4 linked regions of the Drosophila melanogaster genome follow. The protein of the gene in region 1 interacts with the protein of each later gene in a biochemical or structural test. Each region holds a gene or a part of one and is shown in the gene's direction. Other genes may lie near its edges. The genes, in order: PPO1, Hayan, GNBP3 and Sp7.

Region 1 (5,144 bases):
ATGAAACTTTAATCAGTTTGGTGCCCAAGTGGGCAAACAATTGAAAGCGTAGCCCACTCGAAATTTTGATAACACACTGCCGCAAATTCCTGCGGTTGGCCCACAACTAATGAATAGTTTGGAATGTTCTTTGGGGCGGAGGCATCATGTGTTTTCGAACCTGGCCGCAGAGTGCTTAAGCCAAAATGTAAAATTTAAGCCAGCGGGTAATTAACGCATACCCACAGCTCATTTTATGGACCAGACTTTCGCCCATAAAGCCAAACAGAAAGAGTGCTTGGCGCCTTTTACAAACTTGCGTGGTTTTTAAGACTTGTTGGTAAAAGTTTGGGTTTTTTCCTTTTTTTTTGTTCTGTTTCGCCGGTGAAAGCAGGCTCTGCACGTGTCCTGGCCTAAAGCTTTTGCTTTGGCCCATTTTCATTCTAATTCAATTCACACTGCCAAGTTCGCAGAAGCACACACTTTTCCACAATTTATAATTAATTAAAGCAAGTTTGTCTTTTGGGCTGGAATCTGGAGCACATTTGCCATGGCTGTCGTTGAATATTCAATGAAAAATTACATTGCTCGGATAAATGTTTGCGTGCAGTCAAGTGTTTTCTAGGAAAAGCCAACTTCAATATACTCTGCAATATATTACTATATTACATACATAAGTGGTATGCATGGTTTAAAAGAATCTACAAAAAATCGTATAAAATATTCTTGCCTAAGTTATTTCAAACAAAAATTCAATTGATGGTAGTCAAATTTGGCTTACATTGCTTACCGTACATAGTTCATAAACTGAAAAGATGGTGTATCTGCTGGAACATCGACATTAGCAAAACAAAGTCGAGCAGAAAAGTCATTTTCATGTTGTTATGGCCAGAGTGCAGAAATTGTGAAAATTCATCTTTTCAATTTTCGCCCGAAACCCGCACATTTATGCAAACTTGTTACGCTCGTTTTTGTTGCTGTCAATTTCACAGATTAATGCGCACACATTTCAACGCCAAAGTCGGCAGAAACATTTATTATTGACAATGGCCAAAAGTTTGGCCATTCGCTTTGCTTTTTGGCCAACATCGTTCATTTGGCCAGACGGCGTAGCGACAAAAATTGATTTACAGTATAGATATTTTAATCATCCAAGCTCTCTTGCCAGTTAGTTCTTAGTTACATTCAGCTACACACTGCCATTTCAAAAACCAAATTTATGGGCCATGTCGAAGGACGAGCCCTCTGCTCCAAGCCAAATTTATGGCCTCCCATTCGGCGATGGGCGGTTCTTTTTAAGGGGGCGTGGCAGCCTGTTGAGCAAGTATTCGGTGTTATTTCTATGCGAATAAGAAGCTTTTCCGGTGGCCTTCGGCTTGTTTACTTTGGGAGTTGTATTTCGCGTGGTCGCAAAAAGGTTTCTCGGATACTTTTTCGGCAAAGACAAAGAAATTCAATTTAAGCTTCCTACCCCGGAACTAATAACTCTTCAAAAAGTTGAAAACAATTAATTGGTTGTGGGTATACATTAGGCAGTGCAGTATTGAAAAAAAATCAGTATATGTATCTAACAAGCTCAATACAGTTTCACGTTTAACAACATTCAACTGAAAATCAACAATGGTATATTATTTTATGCAAGCAATTAAAAGTATTTCTCTTATCATTTTGCGGCTCAACAACTTTTGCGGTATTGCACTTTTTGCTTTTTCAGAAGCTATCGACTAAACCACAACGTTTGGATTTGTGAGAAAAAAGGCTCGACCATTGCAGTTTTGCGGTTGGGACTTGATAATGAATATTTTTAAAAATATTATTTTTATATTCGGACTGCTAGTTAGCTATAAAATGAGTTCGGCTTCCTGGGAAAATCACAGTTCTGCAACTGGCTTCGTTGAGTGAAGTTAAAAGTGTAGTTGAAAGTGTACATCCATAGAGAAAACCATGACTAACACGGATCTGAAAGCCTTGGAACTTATGTTCCAGCGACCCCTGGAACCGGCATTCACCACTCGTGACTCCGGAAAAACTGTATTGGAACTGCCCGATTCCTTCTATACGGATCGCTATCGCAATGACACCGAGGAGGTGGGCAATCGATTCTCTAAGGACGTGGATCTGAAGATCCCAATTCAGGAGTTGAGCAACGTTCCCAGTCTGGAGTTCACCAAAAAGATTGGTCTCAAGAATCAATTTTCGCTGTTTAACAATCGCCATCGTGAGATCGCCAGCGAGCTGATCACCCTCTTCATGAGCGCACCAAATCTCAGACAATTCGTGTCGCTTTCCGTTTACACCAAGTAAGTACTTGTACTAAAATAAATATATATGTATTGTATAATGTATTAATTTTTTAGGGATCGTGTGAATCCTGTGTTGTTCCAATACGCCTATGCCGTCGCCGTTGCCCATCGCCCGGATACGCGTGAAGTGCCCATTACCAACATTTCCCAGATCTTTCCGAGCAACTTTGTAGAACCTTCCGCCTTCCGGGTTCGTTTAAGTTCTTCTTTATTTGACCAATCAAAGTCTTTAATGGTGTATTTATAAATTTGACCACAGGATGCCCGTCAGGAAGCTTCTGTTATTGGAGAGAGCGGCGCTCGTGTCCATGTGGACATTCCGCAAAACTACACGGCCTCGGATCGCGAGGATGAACAGCGCCTGGCGTACTTCCGTGAGGACATCGGTGTTAATAGCCATCATTGGCACTGGCACTTGGTCTACCCGACCACCGGACCCACGGAGGTGGTCAACAAGGATCGTCGTGGCGAGCTCTTCTACTACATGCACCACCAGATACTCGCGCGCTACAATGTGGAGCGCTTCTGCAACAATCTGAAGAAGGTTCAGCCGCTGAACAATCTGCGTGTGGAGGTTCCCGAGGGCTACTTCCCCAAGATCCTGTCCAGCACGAATAACCGCACCTATCCCGCCCGAGTGACCAACCAAAAGCTGAGGGACGTGGACCGCCATGATGGGCGTGTGGAGATCTCCGATGTGGAGCGCTGGCGTGATCGCGTGCTGGCTGCCATAGATCAAGGATACGTTGAAGATGTGAGTTGGGCCCGTTTGGAATATTGAGCATAGGTCATAGAAAGCACTAGAAATTTTTATTTGCTAATCCATAGTCTTCTGGCAATCGTATACCATTGGACGAAGTTCGTGGCATCGATATCCTGGGCAACATGATTGAGGCATCGCCAGTCCTATCCATCAACTATAATTTCTATGGCAATCTACACAACGAGGGGCACAACATAATCTCCTTTGCCCACGATCCCGATTACCGTCACTTGGAGGAATTCGGTGTGATGGGCGATGTGACCACGGCCATGAGGGATCCAATCTTCTACAGGTGGCACGGATTCATCGACACGGTGTTCAACAAATTCAAGACTCGCCTGAACCCGTACAATGCCGGTGAGCTTAACTTCGATGGTATTACCGTGGACTACATTGAGGCCAAGATTGGCAAGTCCAATACCAAGGCCAACACCCTGTTGACCTACTGGCAGAAGTCGAGTGCCGACTTGGCAGCTGGCCTGGACTTTGGACCAACGACCGATCGCAACATATTCGCCTCGTTCACCCATCTCCAGAATGCCCCCTTCACTTATACATTCAATGTGACCAATAATGGAGCCAGACGAACGGGTACTTGCCGTATCTTCATCTGCCCCAAGGTGGATGAGCGTAATCAGGCTTTGAATCTGGAGGAGCAGCGACTGTTGGCCATCGAAATGGACAAGTTCACAGTTGATTGTGAGTAATAACTGTATTTCTTAGTATATATATTTATTTAATATTTTGGTATTTAAAAAGTGTTTCTTTCGTACAAAGCTAGCCAGTGATTTTAGCTTATACTTTTCCCTACTGACAACCTCCTACGATCTATTAACATACTTTAATTAATCCCCAGTGGTGCCTGGTGAGAACACCATACGCCGCCAGTCGACAGAGTCCTCGGTGGCCATTCCCTTCGAGCGCTCATTCCGCCCGGTTGGAGCAGACTATCAGCCCAAGGCCGCCGATGAGTTGGCACGCTTCAAGTTTTGCGGATGTGGGTGGCCACAGCATCTCCTGCTGCCCAAGGGCAATGCCCAGGGAATGGTCTTCGACCTGTTCGTCATGATTTCCGATTACTCGCAGGACTCCGTTGAGCAGCCCAAAACGTGAGTGCTATAAACCCAATTTCCCATCATCAGCTGACATTCTCCTTGTCGCCCATTAGACCCAACGATGCCTGCAGCACGGCGTACTCGTTCTGTGGTCTGAAGGACAAATTGTATCCTGACAGACGCACCATGGGCTATCCCTTCGATAGGCGCCTGCCCAATGCCAATCTCACCGAATTGGTCGGTGCCTTTGGCAACATGGCCAAGACCGATTTAAGGATTGTCTTCAATGATCGTGTGATTGACAAGGCCTAGATGATTGCTCCAACTAACAGAGATGATTTTAAGAATCAATGGAAACGGACTTGAAAACGGAAAACTCTTGGAATCATATACACTTTTTGCTATTAACTTATAACTAACCAAACTTGTGCGCGTTTATGTGGTGTTTTATCGTTTCTAATTACACTCTACAAAAATAAATGTATTGTAATATGTGCAGGCAGTAATACAAGCGAGTATTGACACCTAATGAATGCAGTGGGTAGATAGCTTTAGCCAAGAAACTTTTGGTAAGCTTATAATGTATCTAATAGTCCCAATTTACCACCCGGGGAGACCAAAGAATTTTACAGATTTTTATTTATTACTTTTTCAAGGCAAAACAGAGATTACTCGTTTTCGTTGGCCTCAAGCAAGCCAGCCATGGATATGATAAATATTTACTGATATAAGAAATCCTCGTCTAGGAATATTCGCATGCCAAATATTTGCTTAGCAATATTGAATATTATTTATAGCAAAGAAATACAGATACACAGCCGCAGAAGGGCGTTTATTTGTCATAGACAGACACGCCCACATTTGTGCGAACTAATCCTATTAGACTTCAAAGCGCCTTGCTCGACAAACTTTGCGATTGCCCATGTCCAGGAGGCCTTGGCGTTCCATCCACCCACCAAGTGTTGAGGGAAAATAGAAAAAACATCCTCGCAAAACAGCCAACAAAATCGCTGCACGTGTTGCGTTTATTAATTTTTGGCTTTT
Region 2 (5,955 bases), on another chromosome or scaffold:
GCTAATCGCCAGTCGCTTCGTCCTGACCGCCGCACATTGTGTCAACACCGATGCCAATACGCCGGCCTTTGTTCGCTTGGGAGCTGTGAACATTGAAAATCCAGACCATTCCTACCAGGATATCGTCATAGTGAGTCACTGTGCTTATGCATTAAGTTATAGCCATTCTGATCGATACCATATCTCAGCGAAGCGTTAAGATCCATCCGCAGTATGTGGGCAATAAGTACAACGATATCGCCATTTTGGAACTGGAACGTGATGTCGTCGAGACGGATAACATCCGGCCCGCTTGTCTCCATACGGATGCCACCGATCCGCCATCGAACTCCAAGTTCTTTGTCGCCGGTTGGGGCGTCCTAAATGTAACCAGTGGGTAGCACAAAAAGTTCCATATCCTCCACTTCCACTAATGGCTAACCATCCGCAGCTCGGGCGCGATCTAAGATCCTGTTGCGCGCTGGTCTGGAGCTGGTGCCTCTGGACCAATGCAATATATCCTATGCGGAGCAGCCCGGTTCCATAAGGTTGCTCAAGCAGGGCGTGATCGATTCGTTGCTGTGCGCCATTGATCAAAAGCTCATCGCCGACGCATGCAAGGGCGACTCCGGTGGGCCGCTCATTCATGAGCTCAACGTGGAGGACGGCATGTACACCATCATGGGCGTCATCTCGTCGGGATTCGGATGCGCCACCGTCACACCGGGACTCTATACGCGTGTCTCGTCCTATCTGGACTTTATCGAGGGCATTGTCTGGCCGGACAATCGGGTGTAAAGTTGGGAAAAGTAAAGTTTTTGTTTTTTTTGTATGTATATTATTTCTATTTGGGATCAGGACTGCCTGATCCATCGCAATTGGCAAACACTCATCTGTGATCTCTATGAGCACCGCGATCGAACCATTTAATACCAATAAAGTAGATACGTTTTAAGATATAATCAATCGGTACAATATTATTTCTGGCAGTTCGGTTTCCAGAACTCTGTGAAGTGATTTTTCTGGTTCTGTTTAATTTTAGAGGGATTTCTGGGTCACCACTTTTATTGAATTGCTGCACTGTATAAAAAAAATGGGGAAATACAAACAGAATGCATTTATTTCAGAAAGATTTGTCATAAGAAATTTAAATTTTAAGCATATGTTTCAGACTATAAGTTGAAAAGGACTTCTTGGGTCACCACCTAGGTCGCAACCTAGGCAAGAAAGTAAGTATCTGGGTCACCACTTTAATTAGAGAAGAATTATACAAAAAAAAAAAAAACAAGATTACTGCAATTGAAACTATATATATGGTAAGTTCTAAAACACGATTCTGTGACACAATTATACTCGACTTTTAAAGGTGTAAATATCGGGGTCACCAAGCGCAGCATAGACCTTACGCGGTATCCTTTAGTCCATACCGCTCGCCTGTTGCTTACCCACTCGCTAATTACAGGCTGCCTTTGTGCTTTGTGTGCTCTGGCTTCTGATCGCTTCGGATCGTTCTGCGATTCTGCGAAGTGGTGGAATGGGAAACCGGTTCGCCGCTCAGCGGGAGAGGATCGGCTCTGGGTGCTATCAGCTGCTGGGTCCGGCGCTTCTTGGTCGACGTCTAAATGGGCCTCATCGGTTCCAGCTCCAGCTCCAGCTGGGGCTCAGAAGCTTGGCTTCAGTTGCTTGGGCGATGCGTTGCTGAGCGGTCAGAGCCGGGAAAATAGCCAGCAGATTCCATACCGCCGCGATTTGTGATAGCCACCGGTTTTTAGCTTTATTGACTCTGCTGGTGTGCTTTTTGCGGTGTTTTTTTCTTTATTTTTTATTTTTTTTTTTCGTAATTCCCTTGGATTTTGTTTTGTTTATGTGGTATTGAATTAAATTGTATTGTATTGTGCGGTGCCCGATTGCCATAGTCACCACAGTGCTCGACGCACTCAATAAACGACATCGATACGTAGACGTACTACTCCCTTATCAGAGACCGAAAAAAGGTCGTGTCAAAGGTGCGTTCGATAAGGCGGACGTCGGTGTACAGTGAACAGTGGACAATGGACATTGGGATTGCGGGATGTGGGGATGTGGGGCTATGTATTGCATGTTCTACTTTTGATTTCGTCGTGTTTACAATGGGCAATTACTGCGGAAGGCCGGAAGCTGATTAGCAATCGCATACCTATTTAATACAATTTCATTTGGGCCGATAACAGGTGATGTCATGACACTTTTGCATTGCTTCAATCGGATATATATGATTCAGTTGAACTGCAGACACATTGACGACTCTCTGCTCAATTGAGCAGCATAATTGTCAGGTGTTACTTTCGTATCGGTTATTACCGACGTAGCTGCGATATCAGTTGGCAGTACACGTCTTTAGCCGGTGGTAAAATCCCAGCGGCATGCCTCCCATGAATCATCTGATCTCACCTGGCGGCGCTGCTGGTGAAATGCTCGTCGTAATCGGCAAACACAAACTTTCCATCAACACAAAGTCTCTCAAATGAAATCAATCAAGTCTGGCTTACTACAATCGAGCAGTTCATATGGAGAATGCTTTTGTGGTGTTCCCATATTAAAAAAAAAAAAAAATCGTAAATGGGTCAATGGCAGTGGATGTGGATCGGTTTAATCAGCTGAAAGTCGAGTCGATTGAAAGAAACAGATCTCGTTTGTTTTTCCCTTACCATTTCGACGAGGGCTTCCCCTGTTGTGAAAATGATGTTTTCCATTTTCGGTTTTGATAAGGCTGATAAGCGTTACCAAGTAGAATGGGATTCACTAATGCTTTTGGGAATTTCAGCTGACCGATGGCGATGATCTCGGCGAGAAGGTACTTCCTTCTGGGTCTCCTGGTGCTGACAACTTCTGCGTATGTAACAGTTGGGGATGGTATGTAGGATGTCTTGCGGCGCGTACACTAGATCCTTGCCAGCTGGCCGCATTTCTCGTTGCAGAGGGCGATCCCTGCCAGGTGAGGTCGGACATACCGGGAATCTGCCTCTCCTCCTCAGCCTGCGAGAACATCAGAGGATATTTGAAGTCGGGCACGCTGTCCACCAGCCAGGTGCCGAGTTGTGGTTTTGGCGCCCGCGAGGAGATCATCTGCTGCCCCACCGTCGCCTGCTGTGCCACTGAGTAAGCGTGTCCTTGTCTCCTTGGCCTCTGCGCTCTATTGTCCTGTTTTTTGTCCTCCTGTTTGTGCACCATATATATGTGTTTGTGTGTGTCCCGCTTGTGCTGTGTGCCCACCGATGTTGCATGCCCCGGTTACCGGCGTCCAACGCCAGACTAACACCTCTCACTCCCACAGTCGAGGTCGTGAGGTCCAATTCCATGCTACGAGCTCCGAGCGCAGCAGTTTACCCGAACCCAAGCGGGAACCAACACCAGAACCGGAGCCACTGCCTCCAACGACCACCGAGGGGAAAAGGGAGCGGGAAAGTCGGCTGGACGAGAATCAGAACTTCTTTGACTTCAACAAGCTGCTAAGCACCACAGTAAAGCCGCAGAAAACCCACGAGTCCTTGAAGTTGCCCACACAGGAGTCGATGAAGACGCCCACTCACGAGTCCATGAAGATGCCCACTCACGAGTCAATGAAGTTGCCCACACACGAACCCATGAAGTTGCCCATCCAAAGCGTTGGAGCTTGGGGCATAGCTCCTTCGAAGACTCAACCCATTGCAAGCACCCAGAGATCTTTTATGGAACCGGAGTGGGGCCGTGAGCCACGGATTGTGAACCGTCCACTGACCACGCCTCGATCACGACCCCAAAGACCGAATAATTCCAATTTCAATACCAATCCAAGCCCCAATAATAACAACCTCATACATTTGGTCAACGATCGGCTGCGGGAGCAGGGAATGCAGATTGAGCCTGCTCGAGAAGTGCCCATGGTGTTGCAAACCACGCCCACGCCCACACCCGCACCCACGCCCACGCAATTGATCGATCCCTTTGAACCCTACCGATTTCGGGGCCAGGACAGAGACAAGGATACCCAGCCCCAGGAACCCTGGAACGATGTCAGCAATAATCTAGACGCGGATCCAGCTCCCAGCATCTTCAATCCAGCCGAGACGCGGTTTGTCTGAGCATTCTTTTGGCATGGACATCAGTTGGCCTCAGCCAGGGAGCCGCATGCAGTCTCTGTCTCAGGTGGAAACCATCGTGAGCCCAATTTTAATCGCTGATATACCTTGTCTTTCGCAGGCCAACGACGCCCAATCCCAATCCCTCCCGCGTCAATCTTCCCGAGAAGGAGCGACCGTCGGTGGCAGGTGAGTTGCGCATTCTTTGGAATATTTTATATGAAAATATCTTTGGAGATATATTATATACAATATATATTAAATTTCCTATCATCTGATGATAGCGTGTGAGAAGATCCGATCCGGTGGAAAGCCCCTGACGGTGCACATTCTGGACGGCGAACGGGTGGATAGGGGCGTCTATCCCCACATGGCGGCCATTGCGTACAACTCCTTCGGGAGCGCAGCGTTCCGATGTGGTGGATCGCTCATCGCCAGTCGATTCGTCCTCACAGCGGCTCACTGCGTCAATAGTGACGATAGCACACCCAGTTTCGTCCGTCTGGGTGCGTTGAACATCGAAAATCCCGAGCCGGGCTACCAGGACATCAATGTGGTTGGTATCGCCATGTGACACATGGTGCGAGATAACCAGTTGAACTCACTCACTTCCATTGGCAGATTGATGTTCAAATTCATCCGGACTATTCCGGCAGTAGTAAGTACTACGATATCGCCATTCTGCAGCTGGCCGAGGATGCCAAGGAGTCCGATGTCATCCGTCCCGCCTGTCTCTACACGGATCGCAGTGATCCGCCAGCGAACTACAAATATTTCGTCGCCGGTTGGGGTGTAATGAATGTGACCAGTAAGTTGTGTGTGCGTAAACTGCAGGATTGGATTGTGTTCGATGGTGTCTTTACAGATCGTGCCGTATCAAAGATCCTGCTGCGGGCGGCTCTGGATCTGGTGCCGGCCGACGAGTGCAATGCATCCTTTGCGGAACAGCCGAGTGCCAACCGGACGTTGAGAAGGGGCGTGATTGCCTCGCAGCTGTGCGCGGCGGACAAGAATCAGCGAAAGGACGCCTGTCAGGGCGATTCCGGTGGACCTCTCATCCTGGAGATTGACGACGTCGACGGCACCTACTCGATCGTAGGCGTAATCTCCTCGGGCTTCGGCTGCGCCACCAAGACCCCGGGCCTCTACACACGCGTCTCCTCCTTTCTCGACTATATCGAGGGTATCGTGTGGCCGTCGAATCGTTTCTGAGGCGTCATTTGATCTGCAATAAATTTAGTTTGAACGGATCGGATGGTGTTTCCCATCAAAAGTGTTTGATAAAGGTATTTTGTCTTTAGACAAAGTTCGACACAATTCAGTGAGTGTCATTAAAGAAGCCATAAGGGTTGTTCATTCAGTTCCTCAAAATGTTAGAATCGATTTTATTTTATATAATAGTGTAGTATAATAGTGTAGTATAATAGTGTAGTATAATAGTGTAATAGAAATTCAAACATCTGAGGCAACTAAGAGGTATCATAAGTGCCAAGCACTTTACCCACTGACGTTTTGCAGCAGCCCTGGTTTCGGGACAGCTGTCAAACTATCGCTGTCTGCGCCTCACCCGCTCGTACGTAAACAGAACTGAGAGCGCAAAAGCTCGCTGCGCGCGGCATTGCCAGGTGTGGCATTCGAAAGTTGCGACAAAAGCTGCTTACTGAGCTTTTGCAGTCAGCTGTTCGCCGCCGTTACAAAGTGCTGCCGGCTTACTGCGGCCAAACAGCCAGCCAAACACCACCCACCACCCACCACCCACCGACCCACTGGCCCCGTCCGCTCGCAGCAAACCAGCCCCCGCTCTCCCCACAAGGCCGCACTCCTGCGGGCAGCAAAAGTGGGAGCTGCTTAAATGGCGCTGCCAGGACTCCTCGGGCTT
Region 3 (3,938 bases), on another chromosome or scaffold:
TTTAGTTGCATTTAATTTTCAAATTTAAGAAGAGCGCCCTGACGCGTTGTTTTCTTTCCTGATTTTCCCGAGCTGCGGTCCCTTCCGCTCGTCAGCAACGACTGTGATGCCAAAAGTTTTCACTGCTGCCCGCTTTTCCACGAAGCTGCCACTCGCCCGAAGACGCACGACGAAAAATCAATCATTCTCGCTTGTTTTGCTTTCGTGCGATGCACTGTAGGCTTAATGGTACCTTTTTGTGGCCAAAATTAATAACTTTAAATCGGAGAGATATTTTGTTTATGTTATTTGCATTGGGTGACACTAGCCCATATCTTTTATAGTACCAAAAATTCTGGTCGTGGCACCGCCCCTTATATTAAATTAACTCGTTTTTTTATTGAGATTTCTCTATTTTCAGTTTAAATCTCAAGTTAAACATAAGTTTTTGTTTCAGCTAATATACCTAAAAGCGCTATTTACAACACTCAATTACAGAATGGAGTTTTGGCCACAAAAAGGTACCATTCAGCCTATAGTGCGTTGTTTGGAACCCCTTCTGCCATAACAAACCATCCAACGAGCCAATCGATTTATCGATAACTTTACATGTCACTCGTAATTAGCAAGGAAAATAAATAATGGCCCCAATGTTGTAATAATTAAGCTAAGCACAGCAATTATGTGTAATTCAGCCCTATAGAAAATTATATAAAGCGCTATGTTGTCTGGCAACGCCACAGCTGTTTTCATAGCGCAGAAACAACAACAAAGACTGGTCAAAAAGAGCACACACACAAGTGAATTACATAAATCTGCATTACTTACAATAACAAAACAGCTCCAACGATCCAAATGGATATTTGTTTATATCCGCGTTCTTTTGGCAGCAGCACAAACGCACACAACCACGCACATTCAACGACACACGCGCTGCGAATTTGTTATTGTCTTATTGTGTTCTCCTCTTTCTGTTGCGTTTCGCGTTTGGCCAAATCTTTCAAATAATTGCACAAAAACACTGACGAACAACATGCGAAACCACAAAATATACGTGTACGCTGTGTCCTTCTCGCTAATTAAATATTTTACAAAAATATGTTCATGTTTTTGTTTTTTCCCGTGTGTGATATTTTCTACAAATTTTTCTATCGAGAGAACGAAAGCTAATAAGACAAGGAAACGGACGAGACTCAGAATTTCATCGAAATTCGTCGCCTGCTACACGGCGAAGCTTATTATTTCAGAATAGAAGTATTGTTTAAATATTTACCTAATGGCAACAATGGAAACTATTAACAAAAAAATTTAATCTTTCACTGATATGCCCTTATGCCCTTATTACTACAGCGATATACCGCAAGCAAAGTTATCGATATACCACAATACCACAAACAGCTGACACGTTAGAGTTGGGCAACTTCGCTGTTTATTAAGCGGGCTTTTTAAAATCTCTAAAATCATCTTTAATAGAAGGTTGTACATTTTGTCCGTATGTTCTTCTTTATTCTTACTCATACTTCTAAAAGCTTACTCTCAATGGCTGTGATTGGGTAAATCCCAAATTCTTCTTGTGGGAGTGTTGTCGCTCTTCTCTAAACATTGGCAAAAAAATCTCAAATAAATATTACACTTAGAAAATACTACCATTAAAGATATTTATATATAAAAACACCAAAATTATTGTATTTTACTTTTTATTTTCTTGATTAAATCGCCCATTGTTATTTTTAGCTACGATGGCACATACTTGCTTCAACATAGGCTTTAGACTTTAGAATCTGCGATAGCACTTTACGGTGTGTACTTTTTTGCAGTGCACCTTTAACAAACAAGCCTCGACCGGTTCTTGATAAGATTCTCAGATTTTCAAGTCCGAGTTGTCTGACCGCTCATCGCAGTTTTAATTGGTATTCCCACAATGGCGGATGCATTGCGCTTTGTGGCCTGGAGCTGCTGCCTCCAACTGCTGTTCCTGCTCCTTGGCGTTCAGGGGTATGAAGTACCCAAGGCTAAGATCGATGTTTTCTATCCCAAGGGATTCGAGGTCTCAATTCCCGATGAGGAGGGCATCACCCTGTTCGCCTTCCATGGCAAACTAAATGAGGAGATGGAGGGCCTGGAGGCTGGCACCTGGGCACGGGACATTGTCAAAGCGAAAAACGGACGCTGGACCTTCCGGGACCGGATTACGGCTCTAAAGCCTGGCGACACCCTGTACTACTGGACATACGTTATCTACAACGGACTGGGTTATCGCGAAGACGACGGGTCGTTTGTGGTCAATGGGTACAGTGGTAATAATGCCTCACCACATCCACCTGTGGTTCCAGTCTCCACAACGCCCTGGACTCCACCTGCCGATCCGGATATCGACATAAGGTTGGGTTGTACTACTCCCAAAACCGAGGTCAATGGAGCACCCACTCGCTGTGCCGGGCAGCTGGTGTTCGTGGATGAGTTCAATGCTGCAAAGCTGGATCCCAATAAGTGGAAAGCGGAACGCAGGTTTTCCGGTCAACCCGACTACGAGTTTAATGTGTACGTGGATGACGCTCCGGAAACCTTGTGCTTAGCCAATGGTCATGTGGTGCTCTCGACGAACACAATGAAAAAACAATTCAAGAAGGGTTCGGGTGAAAGTTTGGATCTGGGTGAAAAGTGTACGGGACAAGCGAATACCCACGACTGTGTAAGAAATGGGCGAACCCTAAATGACGGACTTCCGCCAATGGTCACCGCTCAGTTCTCCTCCAAGGATTTCTCCTTCAAGTATGGTCGCGTGGAGGTGCGAGCCAAAATGCCGCGGGCACAGTGGGTGACTCCACAAATCTGGCTGCAGCCCAGGCGTCCGATCTACGGAGTGGATGATTATCGGTCGGGACAGCTGAGAATCGCTTATACCCGTCCGAATGGAGGTAATCTGGATTTGTATGGCGCCGCCGTGCTCTTTGCAGATGAGCCGCTGCGATCGGTCAAGAATTGCCTGAAGCCAGGTACTGGAAATAACTCCGAGGACTGGAGCGATAGTTTCCACAATTACACCCTCGAATGGACACCCAGGGAACTTCGCTGGCTGGTGGACGGCAAGGAGTGGTGTGTCCAGGGAAGTGCTAAAGGGTCTTTCAGCGAGACGACTGCCGCCGGAAAGAGTTTACCGCAGGCCCAGAAACTGGAGGAGGGCACTGGACTGGCACCCTTCGATCAGGAGTTCTACTTGACCTTCGGACTCAGCGTGGGCGGTTTTAACGAGTACCAGCACGAGATCAAACCCTGGAACGAGAGGGCGCCGCAGGCGCAGAAAGCCTTTTGGAAGGAAGTCAAGAAGATCAGGGACCACTGGCTGGACGAGGGCCACATGAAGATCGACTACGTAAAGGTGTACTCTTTGTAAACTCTGTAATCGAATTACAAGCATAGGAAATAAAACAAATATAATTAACATTTATACAATACATTTTATACATTTACATCTAAAATTATGCTAGAAAATGGAAGAACTTTCTTAAATGAAAATCAAGTTCAAAGGTTCTTACCTGTTTATTTTTTAAATAAATTTCCATGCAAAACAAGCAAAAACAAGCAAAAAACAATTGTAAATTAAATTATTTATTTAGCGGTATTTAAACGTTACTTTTCCAACCATATGGTTTTATTTAAGCATGGCACTGCCGTTCAACCAAATATGTTGAATGCAGCCCTGGCTGTTTATCGATAAACTGCTCACATAACCTGCTGCTGCGGCCCAAAGAATTTATTTTGTCACCCGAAAACCGTAAGTAAATGGATATTAAATGATAGTTGAACGCTTTTCTAACTTAAGACTTGCAGATACCAATAAGATGCACATCACACGCCTCGCCCTTCGCCAGATTTCGCGCCAAGTGCAGCTGCATCGCATGTACAGTGCAGCGGCTCCGGCCGCCGCAGTCTCGGGTGCGGAAAAACTGGTGCCTCCC
Region 4 (6,166 bases), on another chromosome or scaffold:
CGTTTAATACCCTTTGTTAGTAAGCCGATTTTATTTTACAGAAAAGATAACAAGAGCAAATTGACGGCATATTAGTTTGGCATGTTTATGTTGATGAATAAACCAATAATAATCATTTCAACGTAAACCAAAAATTACATACAATCAGATTTTTCAAAAAAAAAAAAAAACAGATAGAAACATATTCATGTAAAAAAAACATATAGCCAATAAAAAAGCCGAACAAAACGAAGTTCGTCACCATTCCTAATTAAGAAAACAAAAACTTTATGCTGAGCAACTTAATCATCAAATGTTAATGTCATCTTGAACTAAAAAAATGCCAGTTTTGGCTTTTATCAAAATTATGAAAGTGTAAACAATCACTGCTTTAACTATCATCTATAACATTTATTTAGACCTTAACCAAAAAATATATTCACAAATTCCACAGAAGTATTCAAAATAATAACTCATACACGTAATACCCGGCACTTCAATACAACATCCAAAATGGAAGCCGCCAGTGAAAGAAAAACCCAGATTATGGAAAAGAGGAAGCTCATGGGCGACAAGAGGATGAGCATGGGAATGAAGTCCTTCTATGCCTCGGTAATGGGAAGCATTTTTCGTATGAGCGATGAGCAGCGGAACGCGTTTGCAGCCATGTATAGGCGCCACAAGGCTGACGCACAATATGTTAACAATAACTACGTTGATGATCCCGTGGAGGAGTACGTGCCTATTTATCAAACCGTATTCGATGACGACCGGGATCCCGTGCACGAGCCCACATTCTCTAAACACCGCATACCCCTGTAAGATTTCCAGCCAAACTTGTTACGGTCAAAATACTTCTTATTTCATTAGTCAGATACGTTGTCTGGAACGTTACCACAATTCCAAGCGGGAGTACGCCGATCAGTTCAAGCGGGAAATCAAACTTCTGATCGACAACCAGTCCACGGCGCAGGAGGCTTGGCAATTCGTAAGGTAAGCTGAAAATCTAGATTTAGTTACGCTTAATAATAGGTAATAGGTTTGAAAAGTAACAATCCAATACTCATTTGATTAAAGCACGCCTTAGGCAAACCCTTAATTGATCAGCCACTATTCGTATTAGTTCTCTTTTAATTTAGTCCTCACTATCATTTTTATTTCGCTATTTTTAGTTATAAATAAAGATAAAAGGATTAGAACCTGCTTCCAATAGAAATCGGTTCATTGTTCGACTCCCAAGTAATGTTCTCAGTTCAAGCTTTTCTTCATGGGTCACTTCAATAGATTTTATTTGCTTGTATTTCTATATTGTTTTTGACAATGCTGTCAAGAAAGTGTTGGAATTTATCCCTAGCTCTCCCACTAGCTGAGTAACAAGTATCTGTTAGTCGGGGAAATCGAGTATACCGTTCTCTATTTTGTTATTGTTGTTAATAGAAAAGAAGACGTTCATTGTGCGTTTCGTCACAATTTTTTCGTCAAAGTTTTTAATGTATTGTGTTTAGCTAAAATAGTTTTGAAAAGAATAGATCAAAAACATATTCTTTAGCCTCAGTCACTAATAATTGATAAAACTAAAGATTTTGAATTCAAAATACTAAAAAGTTTTTCAAAGTTTTTCATTTCTTTTGAGCCATATCATCTTCAATTGACAATCATTAGAAACCGTAAATACCAACTTTTCAAATTACTTTACTTATTTCCCTTTTGATTTTCTTACAGAACCATGGCCTATACCACACTTTGGCCGCCGCTGCACACAAGAAAAGAGCTCAAGATTTTCGAATTGGACTTTTGCAAGCTTAACCCTCAAGAGCAGAAGCGCTATAACAAAATAATGGCGACCAACTTTTCTTAGTCTTTAAGTTTTAATATATAAAATTTTATAATTTAAAAAAAAAATATATAAAATAATAAAAGCAACAAAAGTGTTGATGAAAACAATATCGTTCTGGGAATATAATAATTATCGGAAGCCCTCACAGTATTTCAGTATTTTTTATATATACTTTAAAGTCATTTAGTACGGCAACGTTACTAAAAATGGCGTGATTAACAAAAACGTGATAAGCAATAAAAAAAATATATCAAACGAAGTTTTTTCAGATTCCAGATTAATACACGCTTCCTTAACTTTGTAAAGGTTGTAAAATATGATCAAGTTTTGGTAGGTATGAGTGCAAAAATAAAATGCTGTCTGATCTTAACCAAAAGCCTTTTGAATAAAAAACATGAAGACTGTGCAAAAATGTTAAATTTTGATGCCACTTGTAAACATGTGCGCATTAAGGAGGGTGTTGAAATAGGAACTCAAAATCACGAAGGCACTTAACAACGCAAATAGTGAAGCTATTTAGTGAACACAGACTATTATATGTGACATAACAACCGGAAATTGCAGGATGATATGAAAAAGGTAAAATGCAACAACAAATACAGATAATCAGTAGCAAGAAATCATCGAAGTGTAGCACGGCAAAATAGGAGTTGACATGTATCTTTTAAGAAGACCTACCGAAATTTCAAACATCTTGATCCAGCCGGCCAAAACCGCATCTCTGTGCAATAATTCATCGATCGTGTCAACAAACTAGTTAGTGCCTACCAATGGGTCGAGAAGTCTCTACTACTTGCAATCTGTTCACGACACGAATCCAGCAAAGATGTAGCTCGATTCGTCTCCTGTGAAGCGTTGCAGAAGTACATTTCAATATGGGTAACGCCTGTTGTGACTTGAGGTATCTCGCCCTTCCATGACCAAAGGAGAAAAAGAATCCATGTTGTGAGAAATTTCAGAAGCCAAATAGAGTTTGCAAAGCTACAAATCTAAGTGGATGAGTATTTAGGAATTTTACATATGAAGACATTGTTCATCGGGCTGGATCACTGTTGAGGATCGACTTACAAAGCAAATTTTTGAATATTTTTGAATACATTTCACTACGTACAAAATATATACATTTAAACATAATATTTTCAGAGCGAGGCTGTTTTTGGGTCCAGCAAAAAATAATCTAAAAATGTTTTGATCTGTAAGAAGTACGTGCTTAGTGAGGTCTACCTGTATATAGGATCTGTACACTCTAGGGAGAAAGCATCAAAATCCGAGTACCAAAGCTTTTCAAAAGATCTCTTTCTTAGTTGTGATAAGCTCGGCTCAAGTCTCTTGATGGGCTTGAAAGCTTTACTCACGGCCTCTCTGGGACAGTATCTCTCAACGACGAATCGATTATCATCTGCGATCGCATTTAAAAAGTCTCTCGCCCGTTAATTCGCGATCAGTTGTCTCTGCGTATCGAAGGCGTTCGTAGTTTAATTTCGCTCTTCACGGTTCTCTGGTTCGAGGTCGACGCGCGTAATCGCAAAGACGCGTTCTTATTAAATAAGCTGTGAAATTTCTTATTAAAATTGGTGGGAAATATCCCAGAAGATGAAATCAACACGCAAAGTAGTTGGGATTTTTTTGGCCACCTGCCTGCTGCCTTTCACCGTTCTACAAAATGTTGCGGCACAAGGAAGTAAGTACCGAGCTATAAATATGTGATTCACTCAGAGCTGACTCATTAATTGAGACCGGTACTTATCCGTGTTAAGCGCAATAGCTTAACAGAATTCAATGCGGTTATCAGACTTGAACTTGAACAAATTTCCCATGTCAATGACTTAATTGAGCGCACTCGTGTATTCTTTCATTCTCCTCAATAAATTTTATGGGACCACTCGTCAAACAACATATTACATTATCAAGGGATTTGATTGATGTCAAAAAATTAATCGTATTTTTTATTATCAAGTAGCAACTCCTGACAATTTTAAATATCGTTCTTAATGCTTGTGTTCTCAAAAACGAAACATAATTGAAATAACGTATAAGTGCAATTTAAATGTTTATTAAACATAAACCAAATTCTTAATAGGATTTTTATAATTTGAAATTAATTAAGCTGCAAAATTAGGTCACTAATATTGACTACAATTATTGATAGCATAATCAAGCGAATTAAAATGTTTAATGAAGTCGTTTTTGACTTAAGTGTTTTGTTTTAATTCAACGACGTGCTGATTGATAGTATTATTGCTTAATTTATTTAAATTAAATAAATATTTATATTTAATTTAAATAGCTTTATCAGCAGGTTGATTTCCGAATTCAAAATTTCCCAAGTTGCCTTCATGTTTTATACCACTCTTAACTCATTTTGACAGGAGTAACTGATCTTCCTACTTGTGTCTTTAATTGTTATGTGTAGGTTGTAGGAATCCCAACCAGAAACAGGGACAATGTTTGTCCATATACGACTGTCAAAGTCTGCTTTCCGTGATTCAGCAGTCTTATGTCAGCCCGGAGGACAGAACCTTTCTTCGAAACTCACAGTGCCTCGATGGAGTAGGTCGCCAGCCATATGTTTGCTGTACAAGTGATCGCAGCTTTGGATCCCAGGAGGCCACCTCCGCAGCCCCTCCTCCAACGACTACCAGTTCAAGTTCACGAGGTCAAGACGGTCAAGCGGGTCTGGGCAACCTGCTGCCCTCGCCACCCAAGTGCGGGCCCCACTCCTTCAGCAATAAGGTCTATAATGGCAACGACACTGCTATTGACGAGTTCAACTGGATGGCACTGCTTGAGTACGTGGATAGTAAGTGACATCTTATATAAAATCATGTAACTTTAGTTAACGCATCTTTATCCATGTTGATAGACAGGGGACGGCGGGAACTCAGTTGCGGTGGCAGTTTGATCAACAATCGTTACGTTCTTACCGCCGCCCATTGCGTCATTGGTGCGGTGGAAACGGAAGTAGGTCACCTGTAAGTATTTACGTGGTTTGATGTTTATCCACGTTTTTAAATAACTAAATGAGTTGTGCCCCTATACAGAACTACCGTTCGGTTGGGGGAATACGATACCAGCAAGGACGTGGACTGCATAGATGACATTTGCAACCAGCCCATCCTACAATTGGGCATCGAACAGGCCACTGTACATCCCCAATATGATCCTGCCAACAAGAACCGCATTCACGACATTGCCTTATTGCGATTAGATCGGCCCGTTGTGCTTAATGAGTATATTCAGCCGGTTTGTTTGCCTTTGGTAAGCACACGAATGGCAATCAATACCGGGGAGCTCTTGGTGGTCAGCGGGTGGGGCCGAACCACAACAGGTGAGTTTGGATATTAAAGATACTTATATTCATTCTAAAGATATCAATTGAAGCTCTTGACCAAGAAGAATCTATAATTTCATAACTAATTGATTCAAATTCTTATTCTATAGCCCGCAAGAGCACCATAAAGCAGCGATTGGATCTGCCGGTGAATGACCACGATTACTGCGCACGAAAGTTCGCCACGAGGAATATCCACCTGATCAGTTCCCAGCTCTGTGTTGGCGGGGAATTCTACCGCGACAGCTGTGATGGCGACTCCGGCGGACCGCTGATGCGAAGGGGTTTTGACCAGGCTTGGTACCAGGAGGGCGTGGTCTCCTTTGGCAACCGCTGCGGACTAGAGGGTTGGCCAGGTGTCTACACTCGGGTAGCCGACTACATGGACTGGATCGTGGAGACCATTCGTCCCTGAGCAGCGGAACGAAGGCCGCTTTTGTTCTGATAATGTTTTAATTAAAGTCAAGTCGAGAGTGCTCTTTGGGCTGGGCGCCCATCCTTTAATTAACTTGCATTCAATGTGATTTTATCAGCTGCACTTACCACGCTGCGTATACTTAATGCGCTTACAGTCTAGCGCCGTTTGCGGTAATTAAAATCGCTGTTCCCCACTGGGATGGGATGGTGAGAGTTCAGTGGAATAACTTTCAAGATGCGGGCCAACTTGCCCAGAGGCACCTTCTTAGCGCCCCCAGCTATTTTCTATGCAATTTGGCAATGAATTTCTATTATGGAAGCAGTGCTTTTCAGAGCTTCCGGCGCTCCATCCGCAAAGTTTTCACTTGTTTGCTGGCTGATTGCACTGAAGGCGTGGCTAGGCTGGAAAACGAAGTAGACAATGGCTAGGCTCATTAATTGTGTGCACGCGGAAAGGTTAATGATGCCTGCAGGAACCGGTTAGCACGGACAAAGGGCTTGGGTTTCTTTACCAAATTTACAGAGTCCACATAACAGCTTTTTAATGCGGATCCAAATACAAGCGCAAGAAGTAAACGAGGATCGCAAAGGAATTTCAAACA

Evidence for each region.
Region 2: of the proteins of PPO1 (region 1) and Hayan, one has a biochemical effect on the other in vitro, tested with the Drosophila melanogaster proteins (one study listed by BioGRID).
Region 3: the proteins of PPO1 (region 1) and GNBP3 form a complex in vitro, tested with the Drosophila melanogaster proteins (one study listed by BioGRID).
Region 4: of the proteins of PPO1 (region 1) and Sp7, one has a biochemical effect on the other in vitro, tested with the Drosophila melanogaster proteins (one study listed by BioGRID).

Annotation. Positions count from the first base shown.
Region 1 is NT_033778.4:17,886,680-17,891,823, reverse strand, and holds PPO1 (prophenoloxidase 1), read left to right. Parts: upstream 1-1,850; 5' UTR 1,851-1,923; coding exon 1,924-2,279; intron 2,280-2,336; coding exon 2,337-2,472; intron 2,473-2,541; coding exon 2,542-3,036; intron 3,037-3,110; coding exon 3,111-3,744; intron 3,745-3,901; coding exon 3,902-4,154; intron 4,155-4,213; coding exon 4,214-4,412; 3' UTR 4,413-4,604; downstream 4,605-5,144.
Region 2 is NC_004354.4:18,479,471-18,485,425, reverse strand, and holds Hayan (hayan), read left to right. Parts: upstream 1-1,653; 5' UTR 1,654-1,985; intron 1,986-2,782; 5' UTR 2,783-2,789; coding exon 2,790-2,871; intron 2,872-2,936; coding exon 2,937-3,117; intron 3,118-3,292; coding exon 3,293-4,069; intron 4,070-4,197; coding exon 4,198-4,265; intron 4,266-4,293; exon of another isoform or gene 4,294-4,360; coding exon 4,361-4,632; exon of another isoform or gene 4,633-4,697; coding exon 4,698-4,884; exon of another isoform or gene 4,885-4,941; coding exon 4,942-5,288; 3' UTR 5,289-5,443; downstream 5,444-5,955. Other genes in the region: psh (persephone), read left to right, coding at 1-130, 189-372, 431-777. UniProt on the Drosophila melanogaster protein: Serine protease which, by converting prophenoloxidase 1 (PPO1) into its active form, plays an essential role in the melanization immune response to physical or septic wounding.
Region 3 is NT_037436.4:8,953,126-8,957,063, forward strand, and holds GNBP3 (Gram-negative bacteria binding protein 3), read left to right. Parts: upstream 1-1,895; 5' UTR 1,896-1,900; coding exon 1,901-3,373; 3' UTR 3,374-3,426; downstream 3,427-3,938. Other genes in the region: mRpL12 (mitochondrial ribosomal protein L12), read left to right, coding at 3,822-3,938. UniProt on the Drosophila melanogaster protein: Involved in the recognition of invading microorganisms. Binds specifically to beta-1,3-glucan and activates the phenoloxidase cascade.
Region 4 is NT_033777.3:7,757,778-7,763,943, forward strand, and holds Sp7 (serine protease 7), read left to right. Parts: upstream 1-2,008; 5' UTR 2,009-2,146; intron 2,147-2,959; 5' UTR 2,960-3,409; coding exon 3,410-3,497; intron 3,498-4,229; coding exon 4,230-4,616; intron 4,617-4,679; coding exon 4,680-4,788; intron 4,789-4,857; coding exon 4,858-5,144; intron 5,145-5,257; coding exon 5,258-5,562; 3' UTR 5,563-5,649; downstream 5,650-6,166. Other genes in the region: CG10919 (uncharacterized protein), read left to right, coding at 493-797, 850-972, 1,702-1,837. UniProt on the Drosophila melanogaster protein: Serine protease that, by cleaving and activating prophenoloxidase (PPO1) after immune challenge, plays an essential role in the melanization immune response to septic wounding.